Rhinolophus ferrumequinum: one gene and its partner. The protein of the gene in region 2 purifies or fractionates together with the protein of the main gene of each other region. This does not show direct contact. Links are inferred from orthologs where the notes say so. Each region holds a gene or a part of one and is shown on either strand. Other genes may lie near its edges.

The links. The genes of interacting proteins can lie anywhere in the genome.
Region 1: the proteins of WDR62 (region 2) and CEP170 purify together in Homo sapiens (affinity purification with mass spectrometry; 3 studies listed by BioGRID and IntAct, with this or other methods). This does not show direct contact. The link is inferred for Rhinolophus ferrumequinum from reciprocal best matches to the Homo sapiens genes WDR62 and CEP170.

Annotation. Positions count from the first base shown.
Region 1 is NC_046310.1:17,589,309-17,597,064, forward strand, and holds the start of CEP170 (centrosomal protein of 170 kDa), read left to right. Parts: upstream 1-4,744; 5' UTR 4,745-4,983; intron 4,984-7,756. Other genes in the region: SDCCAG8 (serologically defined colon cancer antigen 8), read right to left, coding at 3,794-3,860.
Region 2 is NC_046298.1:36,319,260-36,326,553, forward strand, and holds the start of WDR62 (WD repeat-containing protein 62), read left to right. Parts: upstream 1-4,293; 5' UTR 4,294-4,415; intron 4,416-4,743; exon of another isoform or gene 4,744-4,877; 5' UTR 4,878-4,928; coding exon 4,929-5,105; intron 5,106-7,294. Other genes in the region: THAP8 (THAP domain-containing protein 8), read right to left, coding at 4,131-4,213. UniProt on the Homo sapiens protein: Required for cerebral cortical development. Plays a role in neuronal proliferation and migration.

The DNA of each region.
Region 1 (7,756 bases), on a different chromosome or scaffold from region 2:
GTTCTATGTTAAGCTCTGTGATTCCCAGGATACTTGGAATATGCTCACTTATTACCCCACTGGAAACTTTCATATCATCTACCGTGGAGGGATAATATTACAGATTTTGGGGTAATGAGGTCTTTTAATTTTTATGTCAGAACTCTAACTTTGAAGGAATGTCATTAAACCTGCCCAATTTCTTGCAGCGGGGGCATAGACAACCAAAAGCAGGAGATATCCTTACAGGGGGCAAACAATGAATATATCTGAAAAGTGTAAGGGAAAGGATAAGACGTGAGGGTGGAGTGTGAAATGGGCTCTCTATTTCCATGGCTGCTCTGGGCTCATCAGAGTCAAGGAGAGGCAAGACGTACACTCAGGTTTTAAAAGCAAGAAAGTGAACTTTGACTCCGCTTTCACATCAGAATTTCAAATTCTTAATATACTGTAATACCGAAAATTATATTTAAAGTGAAGAAATGAGGCAAAGCTATAAAAAATGGAAACTTGTGAAAGCATTTTGCATTTTTATGTGGTTACTTGCTGTCTGAATATAAATGAAGGTATACAAATAATGATTACAGGTATAGGTATTTAAAAACCAGAGGAGTAACCTGTGAGGAAAGACTACAAATGCTTATCAGCCTTTTCTCTAAACAAGAACTAGGCAAGACATTTTGGGGAAGTAATGGCAGATAGACAAAACCAAACAAACCAACAAAACAAAGCAAAGAAACTTTAAATTGCATTTTGTCTGATTGTATAGAACACAATTTCAAGTTATTAGGCACAAACACTCAAAATGAAGTTCTACATATAAAATAATGCCACCATACTTTGTTCTGAAACACAAATGTTGACTTTAAAAGGAATTATCCTACTTAAAAGGGGGTAATTTATATGTATGGAGTGAAGAACTTCTGACTGTGCTTCCCTTCAAAGTTCGCTTTGTTTTGTTTCCGTCCATGAGCTGTTATATAAACTAAATAAATGTAAAAATAAACAATGCTACTAAATAAATAATAAAATAAGTCCTGGAAACCCATGAAAAATCAGGTTCCATTTCTTGATTCATTGTTAAAATGGTCACTAAACATTTTTTTTTAAAGTAAACTTTTTTCTCTGCTTTGTCTGCTCTTGATTATAAATGTTTTCACTATCACATTGTTAGCACACTAAATTTAAAACTTATTTTAAAATGTATTAGCTTTGAATAAAAACTCTTCACTTTGTAATTACTGAAAGCATTATCATGGGTATTAAACACAGTAGTACTCTAACATTAGTTTAAATTAACCATTGCATCAAAATGCCTAATATTAAATGGCCTCTAATACTTACATAAAAGTTCAAAATAAGGTCAAAGAAGGAAGAACATTAGGAGATACTTATAATGGAAAACAAAAATTTTTTGCCAACCTCAAAAATTAAACAGAATCACTCACATTATCATTGTGCACAGTATTTTTCTTGCTTTCAAATGAAAGTTAGAAGTGGTTATTTCTGTATCTAAAAGTTCTTGAAACATCACTAGGATGATGAAGATATTCATTAAGACCAATTATTTTACTCTTGCAGTTTGAATACTCACAGTGTTGACAGTTTGTAACACTGCTGACAGGTGGGAACAATAAATAATAACTCTTACAAAATCTAGAGTCACTTGAAAATAAACTTTCTAATCTTCTTGAAAAACCTTCCCTTTGTTGCAGGTACCAATTATAAATAGCAGCTAACATTTAATTAGTGCTTCTTATATGCCAACCACTGATCTTTACCCTTATTGTCTTTCCTAGTAATCTGTAATTATTTTGTTTATTGTCTTTCTCCTCCACGAATCCAGAGGCTCCAAGGGGACAGGGACTTTGTCTAGTTCCTTATGTATCTCCAGGACCTAGTATGCCTAACACACAGTAGGCACTCAATTAATAAGTGAATCAGTGTTCTAAATGCTTTACATAATTTTTTAAAACTGTTGGTCATGACCTAGAGGGTTAAGAAAATGCAACAGAAGAGAAAATAGAGTGCATTACATTTAGTATTTTTTAATGAAACTTTTCTTTTAGTTTACGTATTTGTCCCATATAAAATGTATTTTTACTGATGAGTGACAGTAAAAAGAAAAAAAAAAGAAAGTCTCAAAATTATTGCTTTATATGGATTATTTCATTTGCTTCTCACAACAACCCTGTAGACGACACCGTAACTTCCACTTTAAAATAACAGAACTGGAGCTTCCCAGTTGGTGACTGCATCCATGTGCTGGCATGGCAATGCACCCAAAGAGGGCTTCCACAACTGAAGGGTTCAGGCCCGCAAGACTACCTCCACTTCGGATGCCAGTCACGAGTCCCAGGTTATCACTAGTACTTCTGACTGATTGGCTATAAATTCAAAGGGTTCCTACAACCCCCTCCTTGGCTCTACTGTTTGTTAAAATGACTCACAGAACTCAGGAAAGCACTTTATTTACTATTACTGGTTCATTATAAAGGGGTACAAATCAAGAACAGCCACATGGAAGAGATGCATAGGTGAGACATGGGGATGGGGTGCAGAGCTTCCAAGCCCTCTCTGGGTGCATCGCCATCCCTGCGCATGGATGGGTTCACCAACTGGGAAGCTCTCTGAACCCTGTTGTTTGGAGGGTATTATGGAGGTTTCATTACATAAATACGATTAGATTAGTGACTAACGCAATCTCCACATTCTCCCCTCTATGGAGACTAGGGAATGGGGCTGAAAGTTCCAACCCTGTAATTGTGGCTGGGTCTTTCTAGCGACCGGCCCCAATCCTGAAGCTGCCTAGGGGCTCTCAGACACCAGCCATCTCATTACACACAAAGACACTTTTATATGAATGAAATTTGAAGGCATATGCTAAGTAAAATAAGCCAGATATCAAAGAAAAAATATTGTATGATTTCACTTAGATGGGGTACCTAGAATAGGCAAATTGATAGAGACAGAAAGTAAAACAGAGGTTTACAGGAGCTAAAAAGAAGGGGAAATAGTGAGGGGGGGGGAACAGAACTAAGGTTTTTAAATGTTATATATGTCCAAGGTGACAGAATACAATCTTCAGTTCTATAGATACTCATTCATATGGTGCCATACTAAAAAAAAAAATCTGAATTAACTAAATATGGTTTTAGTAAGTAATAGTAATTGTGACAGGATTCATAAAGAAAAATATAGGCTTTTAAGACAGGCCTGACTGACTTTAAGATTTGTCTCTGCCACTAAGCAGCTGTGTGGGCTTTGTCCTGATTTATCGTCTTTGCACCTCCATTTATTTCCCCATGTGTAAAATAGGGATATTTATAAGGTTGTTTTAAGTTTTAAATGATATAATGTATGTAAATAGCCTAGAGCACTAAATAGAGCTGTTGTGATTAAAATAATTATTAGTGCTTTCTTTTCCTGGTCCAATAAATCATTCAATCCACTACACCGTACTGTGAATGTGTAAATAGTGTGTAGCAGGAACTCATTAAAGAGCAAAGTATGGGAAATGTGCAAAAGTGGCATAGAGCCGTTCAACAGGTTCTGCTGGCGCTGGGTGAGAAAGATGCCTAAATCAAGATCAGAGAGTTGGTTCAGGTAGTAAGGGAACCAGGGAAACACTAATGGTTAACAGTAAAAACACAAACGATCTCATTCTTCCTCAAAAACATCCTTCAACAGCAACATCCATCTTCTTCCTCTGCATCCTGGCTGAGGCCGAACCAAGGTGATAGGAAACACACCTAGTCAGCTCCCGCCCACTAGGCCCTGGTACCACGGGGCACGGAGGTTCGGAGCAACTCACCCCGGAGACTCCGTCGATAATGCCCCAGAATCTCCTCCAGGGTAGAGTTCTCCGGGGACTTCGCCATGTACAGACTCAGGATCAGAGATGGGAGTTACGTGGGGAATAGTCCAATGTTCTCCCCTCCGAGAACAGGAGGCCTTAGCGCCCCGGGTGGACCCGCCAGCTTCCTGCCGCTGCTGTCAATGGGGAGCATGGAACCCCGGACCGGGCTCGCGGGGGTTCTTCCCCCCTACTAGCCCTCTTGGTGGATGACGGGAGTTGTGGTTCTCAGACTCCGAGCCTGCAGTGTCCAAGTTTCTGAGACCTTCTGACTACACTACAATTCCCAGAGGGCACTGCGCTCCCAGAGCCAGCTCAGGCCGTTTGGTGGCCGGATCCGGTTGCCAAGAGACTGCTCGGAAGCTCCGCCCTTTTCCTGATTTAGTCCTGCCTTCATCCCATCCTACTGTTTGGACCACCCAAAATGACAGAAAGGGCTCGCAGAAGGCCTTGACTTTTCTAAGCAATTTGCTAATATGCAGTCGATTCTTGAAGATTTTCAAGGACGCAAATAACAAGCTCAACACTCTTCAGCCACGACATTTGCCAAAACAGACAAATTCTCAAGAGAAATACGCTCTAAATATTCCAAAGAGCCTAGATTGTGAAAGGCGGCTGACACTACAAATCCTAGCATGCCCAGCCACCCGACCTCCACTTGGGGTTGGCGCACTGCCCGCTGGGAACGGTAGTCCTCGTTGGTAGCCGTCCCTGCTAAAGTTGGGGTCCTCCTCATTGTTCAAGCTGGTCTTTGAGGCACGCCTGCGCAGTAGGCAGCTGTAAAACCCTGCGGCGAGACCCTCTGCACAGCCCCTTTTCATTGTCTGTTTTTGGCGCCTGCGCAGTAAGCGATCGTTGGGACTGAGCCGGGAAGGGGGTAGGGCCGGGCTGCTCGCCCTTTCTCCAAGCGCCTGCGCATTAGGCGGCCGCTCTTTGCCGTTACCGCTATGTGTGGGGCGTGTGTGGAATAACGTTAGTGCCCAGCGGAGCTGAGGGGCCGGGAGCTCGATCACAGCGGCCGGGACGACGACGACGACGACGACAGCGGCAACGACGACGACAGTGTGGGGGGAGGACGGCGTGCGAGAGACTCACGGGACGCGACGCGCCCCGCCTCCCCCGTCCGGTCCCTCTCTCCGCGGTGAGGGGTAAGTGATGCGCTCAACTGCTGGGTTAGGCGCTGCCGATCCCGTCGCGGCCACTTTCCACATCCTCTTCCTTGGGTTTGCAGCGGGGGCTCGGGCCGCGATCTGCGGCGGGGCTAGGGTGCGGGGCCGGGCGGGGCCGGGGGCGCTTCCCGGATGCTCCTCGCGGCGCCGCCACCCCCACGCACCGGCCGGGGGCTCGGCCGGGCCAGCCCTCGTCTCCCCACCCCACCCTCACCCCACCCCCACCCGCCGGCCCTTCGGTGCTGCGGCCGCGGCTTTCCCGGCCCGTGGCCGCCTCCGCCCCTTCGCCGGAACGTACGGAATCATTTCAGCTCTCTCGGGGCTTTGTGCAGCCCTCCCCCATCCGCCGTGGCAGCGCGAGGGGCGCGGAGGGAATGGCCGCGCTGCCGCTGGGGAAGTGCTGTTTCCCCGGCTGGGAGCAGCTAACAGCGCCGATCCTTTTTTGTGGTTGGTTCTGGGCTGTGGGGTGGTTGGCGGGAGGTCAGGCGAGGAGCCTTTCGGACGCGCTCGGAGGGCGTGGAAGACGTGGTGTCACGCACCCTGCCAGGCGACCGGACCCCGCGGGAGCTTTGGCTCGGGAGTCAGCCCCCGGGAGCAGAGCGTGGCTTCCTGTCGGTTTCATTGTCCTGAGATTCAAACGTGGGGTGTGGGTACGGTTCCCTTCGTGTTATTCCCCAAGGGGGAAAATTATGAGCGCTGCCTAACACTGGGCGGGAAGACGTGGAATTTGTAGAATCTCTATTTTTCGGTGTTGAGTAGACTGTTATTTATTTGAAGAATGAAAGCTCCTGGAAGACACGGACAGTGCCTGTGCAAGCATTGCCAAAGTGATCAATATAAAATTGCTAGATGACGATGAAGCCTGGACTAGGAAGGGCCTGACGACGAAGCTATTGTGTAGCAGGGAAGTGAAGCAGCAGGATTGTTTTTTCATTGGGTGGGTAAATGCATTCACGTTCCTACGGGAATAGCTAAGGCTCCGTCTTGCCGTTTTGTGTATTTAAGCAATCGAAGCAAACAAAAAACAGACCTGGTCCATTTCTGCTTAGTTTTATTCATGCTTGTATTCTCTTTGTGAAAATTCACTCCCGTTAGAGAGAAATGTGGGGAAGCAGGTGATACACTTGATTGAAGATGCATCTTTTAAAATGATTTGATCCTGAAGCTTCCAATGTTTCCAACCGTTTGCTGGTTTTAAAAGGAGGAATGAAGCAGGGAGGGGAGGAGCAGGTGGAGGAATAATGTGAGAGGAGAGAGTTCCATTATGAATACAGTATCCAAGTCTTTACTGATAGAATCCTAGCTGGACATGCTTCAAAGATTTACGAATTCAGCTCTGGAAATATTACATTGCAAGTTACAAACCGTTTTGTATGTTCTGCATTATTATTATTTTTTTGAGTTATATGAGGGTTGCTTTTTGTTCTTCCTAACTTTATAGATATTGCATAATTAGGGTCTTTTAAAACTGAAGAGACTAAGTGCACTTGACAGAGACAGAGGAAGATAACTAAAATTTGGAAAGGTAACTGTCCGTCCAAGCCAAACTGCTAATGAAAGGCAAAGCCAAATAAAACCAAGGTGTGTGCTGCGGAGTGCTCCTTCCAGTAGCCCCCTACCCTGTGGACATTTACGGAAAGCTGCTCTACAGTCTCTTTGCTTGTCTGTGACAAACAATCAAGTTCATTGACACCCCAGTTGTATTAATCTAATCCTTTTCTTTGTAAAGTAAAAATAGTAATTCTACTGAAGTGAAACTTTAGTTTTATGAATTAACTTACTGTTATAGGAAAAGATACTATAACATGGGCTTTTCATAAAAAGAGAAATGGATTATTTTTCCCTACTACTTATTAGAAACCATATTTTAATATTATTTCCGGATATTCAGAAGTAGTTTATAGTATGATCAGGTCTATAAACTCTGTTAAAAATTGCCACATAACAAGAAACTATGAAGTCCATTTTTCTTTGATTAATGGATTATATTAAACTTAAACGAGAATTTACCTTTTGAGAAATAACTTGGAACTTTTTATCAAAATTAAATTTATGTTTTTTATTGAGTTGATTTTGCCATAAAGTCCTTTCTTGTTCTTATCATTTTTATCCTACATAGCATTTTAATAGACTTTTAAAACAATTTATTAATGTTTCTCTGAATTTCAACTTAAAAATAATCTGTAATTAAATTCAGTATGTGCAATTATGTTAAATCAAACTTAAAATGTATTTTACTGGTAAATTTTGTGGTGTTCTAAAATGATTTTGTATGGAAATAACCATCTACATGTTTTTTTATCTTAGCATTAGAATGATGAAATTTATACTATAAAATATATAAATTATTATACATTATGCCTTTTGATACAAATATCAAGATGGTATAAAAAAAATTCTCTGCATAGTGATTTATTTGTTCCAAGTATCAGGTTTTTGTTTCCTTTTATCACTGGAAAAAAAATTTGTTTTATTGTTACATCTGATAGTAATCAAATATTACTCATCTGGTACTGAATACTGTCTATGTATAAAGTTGTCAACATGTTTTTAATTCAACAAAATGTATTTCTGAAAAATAATTTTTTCTATTTTAATTAGTGAGTAATGATGTTTTTTCTTTTCTGTGGTGAACACTAGCAGTGTTAAGCTATCCTAATAAATATCTAACAGATAGCATGATACTAAGTTGCCAACTAAAATATCCGTACAGTTGCAAATTACACAGGAAGTATAACAAAAGCAGTTACAT
Region 2 (7,294 bases):
CCCTTGATTTTGGCCCAGTAAAACTGGTATAGACTGAGAGAATAATTCCTGTTTTAAGCCACCAAGTTTGTTATAGCAGCCACAGGAAACTAGTACAGTAATAAAGGGGGAAATAAAAACATATATTCAGATTTGCTTGTATTTGCATAAAGAAACACTGGGAAGGACACAAAAAAAACCTAAAGAGGTCACCAGTGGGAATGAGGTGGATGGGATGGACAGAAATGGGGGCCAGAGCAAGAATTCTCAGGCAAAAGGGAGACAGAGAGGGCAGGTGGGGGGCAGCTGGTGAAAGACGACAGAAGGGCTGATTCAGAGAAGAGCTGTGGCACCCAAAGACCAGAATAGCAGGGCCCACAGCGGCTGCAGTCCCTTCAGCCTCGGTCTTGTTGGTCATCTTATCTAGAGCATGAAGTGGCATACAGTGCTAGAAGATCTTTCCTTCCTTAGTAATGTTAACTCAAAATTTCTTCAGGGTGATTAAATGCTCAGCTAAAAGACTACATTTCCCAGCCTCCTTTGCAGTTGGGGGTGATCAATGACAAAGAACCCAACACTGGGTGGGGTTTCTGGGAAGACTTTGTAAAGGGGACTGACTCAGTTTAGAGTTGAGTCCCTTTTGCTCTTCTTCCCTTTCCTTTTCTTCCTACCAGGAATGGTAGGGCACAATGGCTGGGGCACTGGCAGCCATCTTGAATGGAAGCTACCTGCTAAGATGATAGAGCAGGAAGACAGGACCCTCATCCCTGATGACTGTGAAAGCCTCTACACCAGTGATGGTCTGCCAATCTCTGTACTTGTTTTATATGAGAGAAAAATCAACCCTGTGGTAGGTAGACTGTAGTATTATTCAAAATATTTGCTCCCATCCCCATTTGAAAATTACACATTTCCACTCCACTGACCCTGTTCATAGACCCTATGGCAACTGTACATAGTAGCCAGATGACTTTATAAAAATCAGTTTATGTCTGTGTGTTAAGTTGCACCAATGGCTGTCAGGCTTTTCCTCACAAAGGCTAGTTCATTTCCATCTCAAGGCCCATGCCTGAGTCAGTCTTGCACAAGCCACTTAGCTAAGAGTTGGGTGAGGAGCAGGCTTACCATAAACTTATTTTGGCCGACAGAGTGCAACTGACGTGGGTCATTTCTAAATATACAATTTACCAGGAGCCATTGGGTGATTCTCCCCACTTGCTCTTCTCCCTAGCAATATTCCACATAGGGGCGGCTTCTTCAGCCTGAGTCCACAATTAAGATAGTATAGAGTAGGGCTACAAATGACCTGTAAAGGGCATAGTGTGAGCAAGAAATAAACCTTTGTTGTAGTAGTCACTGAGATTTTGTGAGTTTGTTACTACAACATAACTTAACCATGCTGATTTCTACATACCCCGTTTGTTTAAGCCACTATTATTTCAGGACTCTGTTACTGCCAACCAGATACAATTCCTAAATGATACCCCCTGATTAGAGATGACTGTCACTTGTTCTTGAAGGGCCTAAAACAGAACTAATGTTTCCTTTGGCTGCTGGGCAGTTTAAGTTATTCCCTGGCAGCCACTTTCCCTGATATGTTTCACCTTGTTCCTACGTAGCATCCATGCCCTCTCCTGAATCTCCTTTAGAAACTGCTCTTCACCCAACTATTAGCTAAGTGACTTCTGTAAAACTGACTCAGGGGTGGGCCTTGAGGTGGAAATGGACTAGCCTGTGTGAGGAACAGCCTGACAGTCATTGGTGGGACTTAAATAACACAGACATAAATTGATTTTTATAAAGTCATCTGGCTACTATGTATCGTTATCATTGTTCTCCTTCCTATTATATGTGAAACACTTAGAATAGTGCCTGGCATACAGTGAGTGCGTCTAAGTTGTTGTTGTAAGGGAGGCAAGAGTGGAAGCAGGGAAACCAGCAAGCAGTTATCACAGTGTTTCGTTAAGAGATGATGGCAGACTGAACTATGCTGTGACAGCAGAGGTGACAAGAAGTGGTCAGACTGGGAAAGTGTTTTTATTTTCCTTATTTCCTACTAGTTTAGTTAGGAGTTTCCTATTTGTGTTTATAACTGCGTTGCCAAGGTGTTAGGGGTTTTGTTGTGATTTTTGCAGGATGGGAATGTGTCCAAAGGGTAGAGTAAAAGGATGGGATAATGGACTAAATTGGGGGCAATGGTGCTAAAGAAAAGAAAGGCTTATGGATGATGTCCAGATTGTGTATTCATTTCTTCAATTTTGACCCCTCACCTTTCCATGAGCTCTGTCAGGGCAGGAACAAAATCTGTCAGGGTCCTTTGTGTCCTGCAGGAGCTTGCTTTCTCCAGGGAGACACTCAGAGTTGCTGAATTAACAAATGGTGCCAGAATGATATATTTTAAAAAGCAAGTCTGGACACAGTGATTTAGGTTTAAAGACTCATATGCAATCCTCCTACCCTGTACCAGGGTCCCTCAAGGCATTTGTACTGTTGGGTTTCCTGGGGAGTCCATCTGAAATGCATTCATTGAATTCATCCAACAAATATTTACTGAGCACCCTCTATGTGCCAGGCACAGTTCTTGGTGCAGAGGGACACAACAGAGAATAAGACAGACAAAAATCCCTACCTTCATGGAGCTGACATTCTAGTGGAGGAAGACAATAAATGAATACATCAAATAGGTGGCTTGCCAAACAGTGATAAGTGTAAAGGGAAAAATAGAGCAGGAGGCAGATAGGGAGAATATGTATGGATCTGGGAGAGGGTTATCATTTTACATAGAGTGATGGTCATAAAGGGAAGAATTTTCCACACAGAAGGCACAGCACAGGCAAAGGCCTTAGGGCAACAATGTGCCTGGAGTGCTAGAAGAGCATCGAGTAGGCCAATGACACTGGAGCAGAGTAAGGGGCAGGAGGGACATGAGGTCATACAGATATTGGGGATCCAGTTCCTGTAGGGCTTAATAGGCCTGCTTCCTGCCTGCTCCAGCCTCATCTTCTTGTCTTTTATAGCGTGAAGTGGGAGCCAGGGGAGGGATCTGAGCAGAGAGGAGGACCGTGATCTGTCTCAGGTGTTTATCAGATCCCTGTGACTGCATGTTGGCAGTCTCACCAAACAAAGGAAAACAACAGAAGTATTATTTGGGTTTGGGGAAAGGGTGAAACTTAGATGAGATATAAATAAAAGTGGATAGGCTCAAAGCAAAGTAGAACTGTGCGCAGAGGGATCAATATTAAGTCTGGATTGTGAAGTGGGCCCAAGGTCCTGTCCACCAGGAAGCAATCAAGTGTATATAGTTGTGGAACACTGTGTCCAGCAACGCCTTACCTGAAGCTCTGCACCTGGATTGTAAATCGAGGCTGCTTCTCTATGTCAAAGTGACTTAACTCCTCCAGGCGTTATAAGTGAGATGTTCAATTCTTACTGATATAACTTCAAACAGCAAAGTTTGTGATAGTCTATGATTTTAGAGAATAAAGTTTCCTAGTGAGTAAGAAAGCAGTAGTCACTCAAAGAAGGGAAGTTGTGTCACTTTACATCTGCAGCATGTCCCTGAGAAAAATATAGAAATATTTTTTTCCTATTAACTCTTCATCTGGCTTTTTCCCCTGTCTATTATTACAGCCAAATAAATGGGAAGGCCGATTTTTTTACAGTTCAAACTAATTTTTACTTTCTCAAGTGTGGGGAAAGAGAATAGGTAAGGATGATTTTAAGGTTTCTAGCCTGAACTACAGGAAGGTTGGAGTAAGCTATTAACTAAGATAGGAAAGGTTGTGGAAGGTTTGGGAGGAGGCAAGATCAGGAATTTGGTTTCCGAAGTTTTGAGTTTGAGATGGCTCAAATTCGTGGAGCTGGCCCTTGGGCAGTTGTAGGCTCTTACAAAGCCTGGACCAACCTCACTTCTCCCTACACAGCACTCCCCGTTTTCCGCTCGCCCCGTTCTCTGCCTATTTCCCATATTAGCACCTTTGTATGTGCGATGCTTACTGATGAAATGCTGAAAATACCGTCTCTTCACCCTGCTAACCCTGCTCTAGAGGCCTGAAAGCTGGACCAGGTGCGAGAACAGCTGCATTTATTATCGGGCCCCGCCCCCTACAGGCCCCGCCTCCCTGCACGCCCCGCCCCGCACTTGCGCTCACTTGTAGAAGCTCACAGGGCGGTTGTCGGCGCCCAGTCGGCCGGCAGTGTTGGAGCAGTTCGGAGCCCAGCAGTACTTGGGCATGGCTGTCCAGCCCCGTTGAGTTTTGCACGGTCTGCAGCCACACTTTGGTCGTCGCCGGGAGCCACCGAACCCGCCCCGCCCGCGCGCTCTCCTCCTGCTTCATGTGAGGAGCTGGGTGCCTCGTCACGTGCCGCGGGAGGGTCGAGAGCGCCTGCGTACTATCCGGCCTGCCGCCTTGCCACAGCTACGCCCTGGTCACGTGGTGAGTGGGGGAAAACGAATACGTCTTCTTCTAGCCACCCGTACTTTGTCACAGGTTTGGGGAGAGGTGGCGTCACGGCGTTTCTGAGCCAGCGCCAAATCGTCAGTCTCTTTCGGCTCCACCCTACATTTACATCCGGGAGACTGCCACTGCGCGTATAGTCACCCGGGGGCAGCAGCAAAAAGCGAGATGAGGCGGCTTTGGTCTTAGTCACGTAAAAGTTAAAACCAGTATGTTTCAGTGAATGATGAAAACACAGACTGGATAAAAAAACGCCACCATGCTTGGTCAAGCATCAAATATACTAATTGTGGCTCCTCCCCGCCAGACACGCCTTTCCGCCTCTTAGCCCTCATTGGTCAAAAGCGCCACCCGGCAGCCCTGAGATTGGCCAGACCAGCGGCTACCGCATCCAATGGGCGGCAGCGCCGGTTTTCCCGCGGCTGTTCGTTATTCGAGTAGGTCTTGGCGGCGGCGGTGGATGAGTAACGGTCGCCCGGCTCCGGTACGACGATGGCGGCCTTGGGCTCCGGGGGCTACGCGCGGAACGATGAAGTCGAGAAGCTGTCATCCGTCATGGCGGGAGTTCCGGCGCGGAGGGGCCAGTCCTCCCCGCCCCCCGCTCCAGCGCTCTGCCACCGGCGGCGGACGCGACTCCCGGCGGCACCCGAAGACACGGTGCAGAACCGGGTAAGGAGCTGCTTGTCCTGCCCTCTCCTGGTCCTGCCCTTAGATCTTTGGCTCCGCCTATCAGCTCCTGGCTTTTCCCCTCAGGCTGCTCTCTGGACCCGCCTCATCTATAAGCCCCGCCCCTTTGGTCAAGGCTCCTCCCACTTTCCGTCTCATTCTCTCAGGTACTGTCCGTCATTCCTAGTCCCACCTCTCAATCTCTGGCCCCACCTTTAGCCCTTGGAGCATTTCTGGGTTCCTCCCTAGTCCCATCTTTCGGAGTGTATTTTAGTTCTAATCACCTCCTAGTCCCGCCTTCCTGCGTGTGTATCGCTTGTCTTTAGACTTCTTTCTGGGCCCTTCCACTTTTGTTGACCTCGCCCCCGCTGGGTCTTTAGGGTCCTGAGGCCTATTTGCCCCAACTGTCCCTCACCTGTATGTATCCCTCCTTTCCTTACCCCCTGCCATCTCTCTTACCAAGGTGGGATTCTTATTCCATATTGCCATCCAAAATTATGGAGCGGATGTAATATTTGTAAAATCTCAGCAGCGCTGCCTGGAGGGGAGGGCATACAGAATAGTTCCCTAAGTCCTGAGACATAGAAATTTTGGAGACTATTTTAGAGTAGGTACGTAGAGGGAATTCCATTAGCACAGCAACAATTTAAAAAATTGTTCTCCAGCTCCCTGAGCCACAAAGTCTGCTTTTATAACATGGAGATAACAACAACCGTACCATGGAGTTGCAGGGAGATGAAATGAAATTGTGAATATGACTTGCCTAGCAGAGTCCAGATAAAGGGTGGATACATGATAGCTGCTAGTAGATCTTGTTTCTGCTTCCTGCTGCACTTTGATTTTATCACCTACTCCTGGCTGAAAGGCCCTGAGCAAGTGGCCCCTGCCCACCTGTCTGGCGGTACCTCTCTCATTCACCCTCTCACAAAGGTCCACTCACACTGTCCTGTCTGTTTTCCTGAGGCGCCAAGGTCTTTCCCTCCTCCTAGCCTTTGTGTTTGGTGAGTTCTCTGTCTGGGCTGTTTGTTGCAGTCTCCTCATCCCTCAGGTCTCAACCCCAGCCTAAAGCAGACAACCACCTTCATCTCTCACCCAGCGCCCTATATTTCATAGCCCTCATCTTGTATTTTCCACCTGAAAGTGCCTTATGAGCTCTAAACTATGTATAAAGTAGAGGAATAATGATAAGAATACACCTTAAAATCTCCCTCTTAGGAACTTTTCTGTGCCTCAATTTCCTCATCTGTAAAATGAGGATAATAGTATAAATATGCTCTTATAGAGTATTTGTGAGGATTAAGTGAGGTCACATATCTTAAGCACTTAGAACAATACCTGGCACATTGCAAATACTCTATTAGTGTTAGCTACTACTGTTATGATTGTGCATTTTGGGTAATTGATGTCATTTATTTTGACATCAATTGTTTGGTGGTGCAGAGTCCACTTGGCCTGCAAAAGACCTAGTCTGAAAATTACCAGTTATACTAATGCCCAGTAGTGCTGATTGCCAGATAAAAAGTGAGTGTCATTGCTTGGTTGCCTGGATTAGAGTCCTGGCACTGCTTCCTGGATGGCAACCCTTCTGGGCATCTGTTTCCTCACCTGTAAGATGGAAATGATGATGACAGTAGTGACCAAAGCACAGGGTCATTGAGAACATTAAATAAGTTAATAGTTATAGGTATTTGAACAACACCTGGCTCCTGGTAAATGCTCAATAAGTGTTAGCTATTATTGTCTTATATTTGCCTTTCATTTCTGAGGCCAAGGACTTGCTTGAGAATATTTTACTTTACAATTAGAAACTAGTCTATTCAAAATATGAAAATATCACAGTTCTGTTTGATCAACCATGATGGGGGCTGGCCCATTTAGCTTACTTTGCTTAGAAAATTTTTAAATTTTAAATGTGATTGTTCATTTGTTTCTTTAGTTGGTGAACCTCTAGACTATAAATTCGATGAGGGAATGGACAGTGTCCACTTTTGCTCGCTGCTGTGTCTCCCCTGCAGGGCCCAAAGTCCTGGCATTGGAGCCAGACTACCTGGGTTTGTATCCCCACCTTGCCAATGAAGGTGTGGGACCTTGGGCCTCAATGTCCTCATCTGTAAAATGGGGCTGATAATAGTGCCTTCTTCCTTGGTTTGTTGTGGGGTTTCAGGTCTTTCAGCCACATAAAATACTGAGAA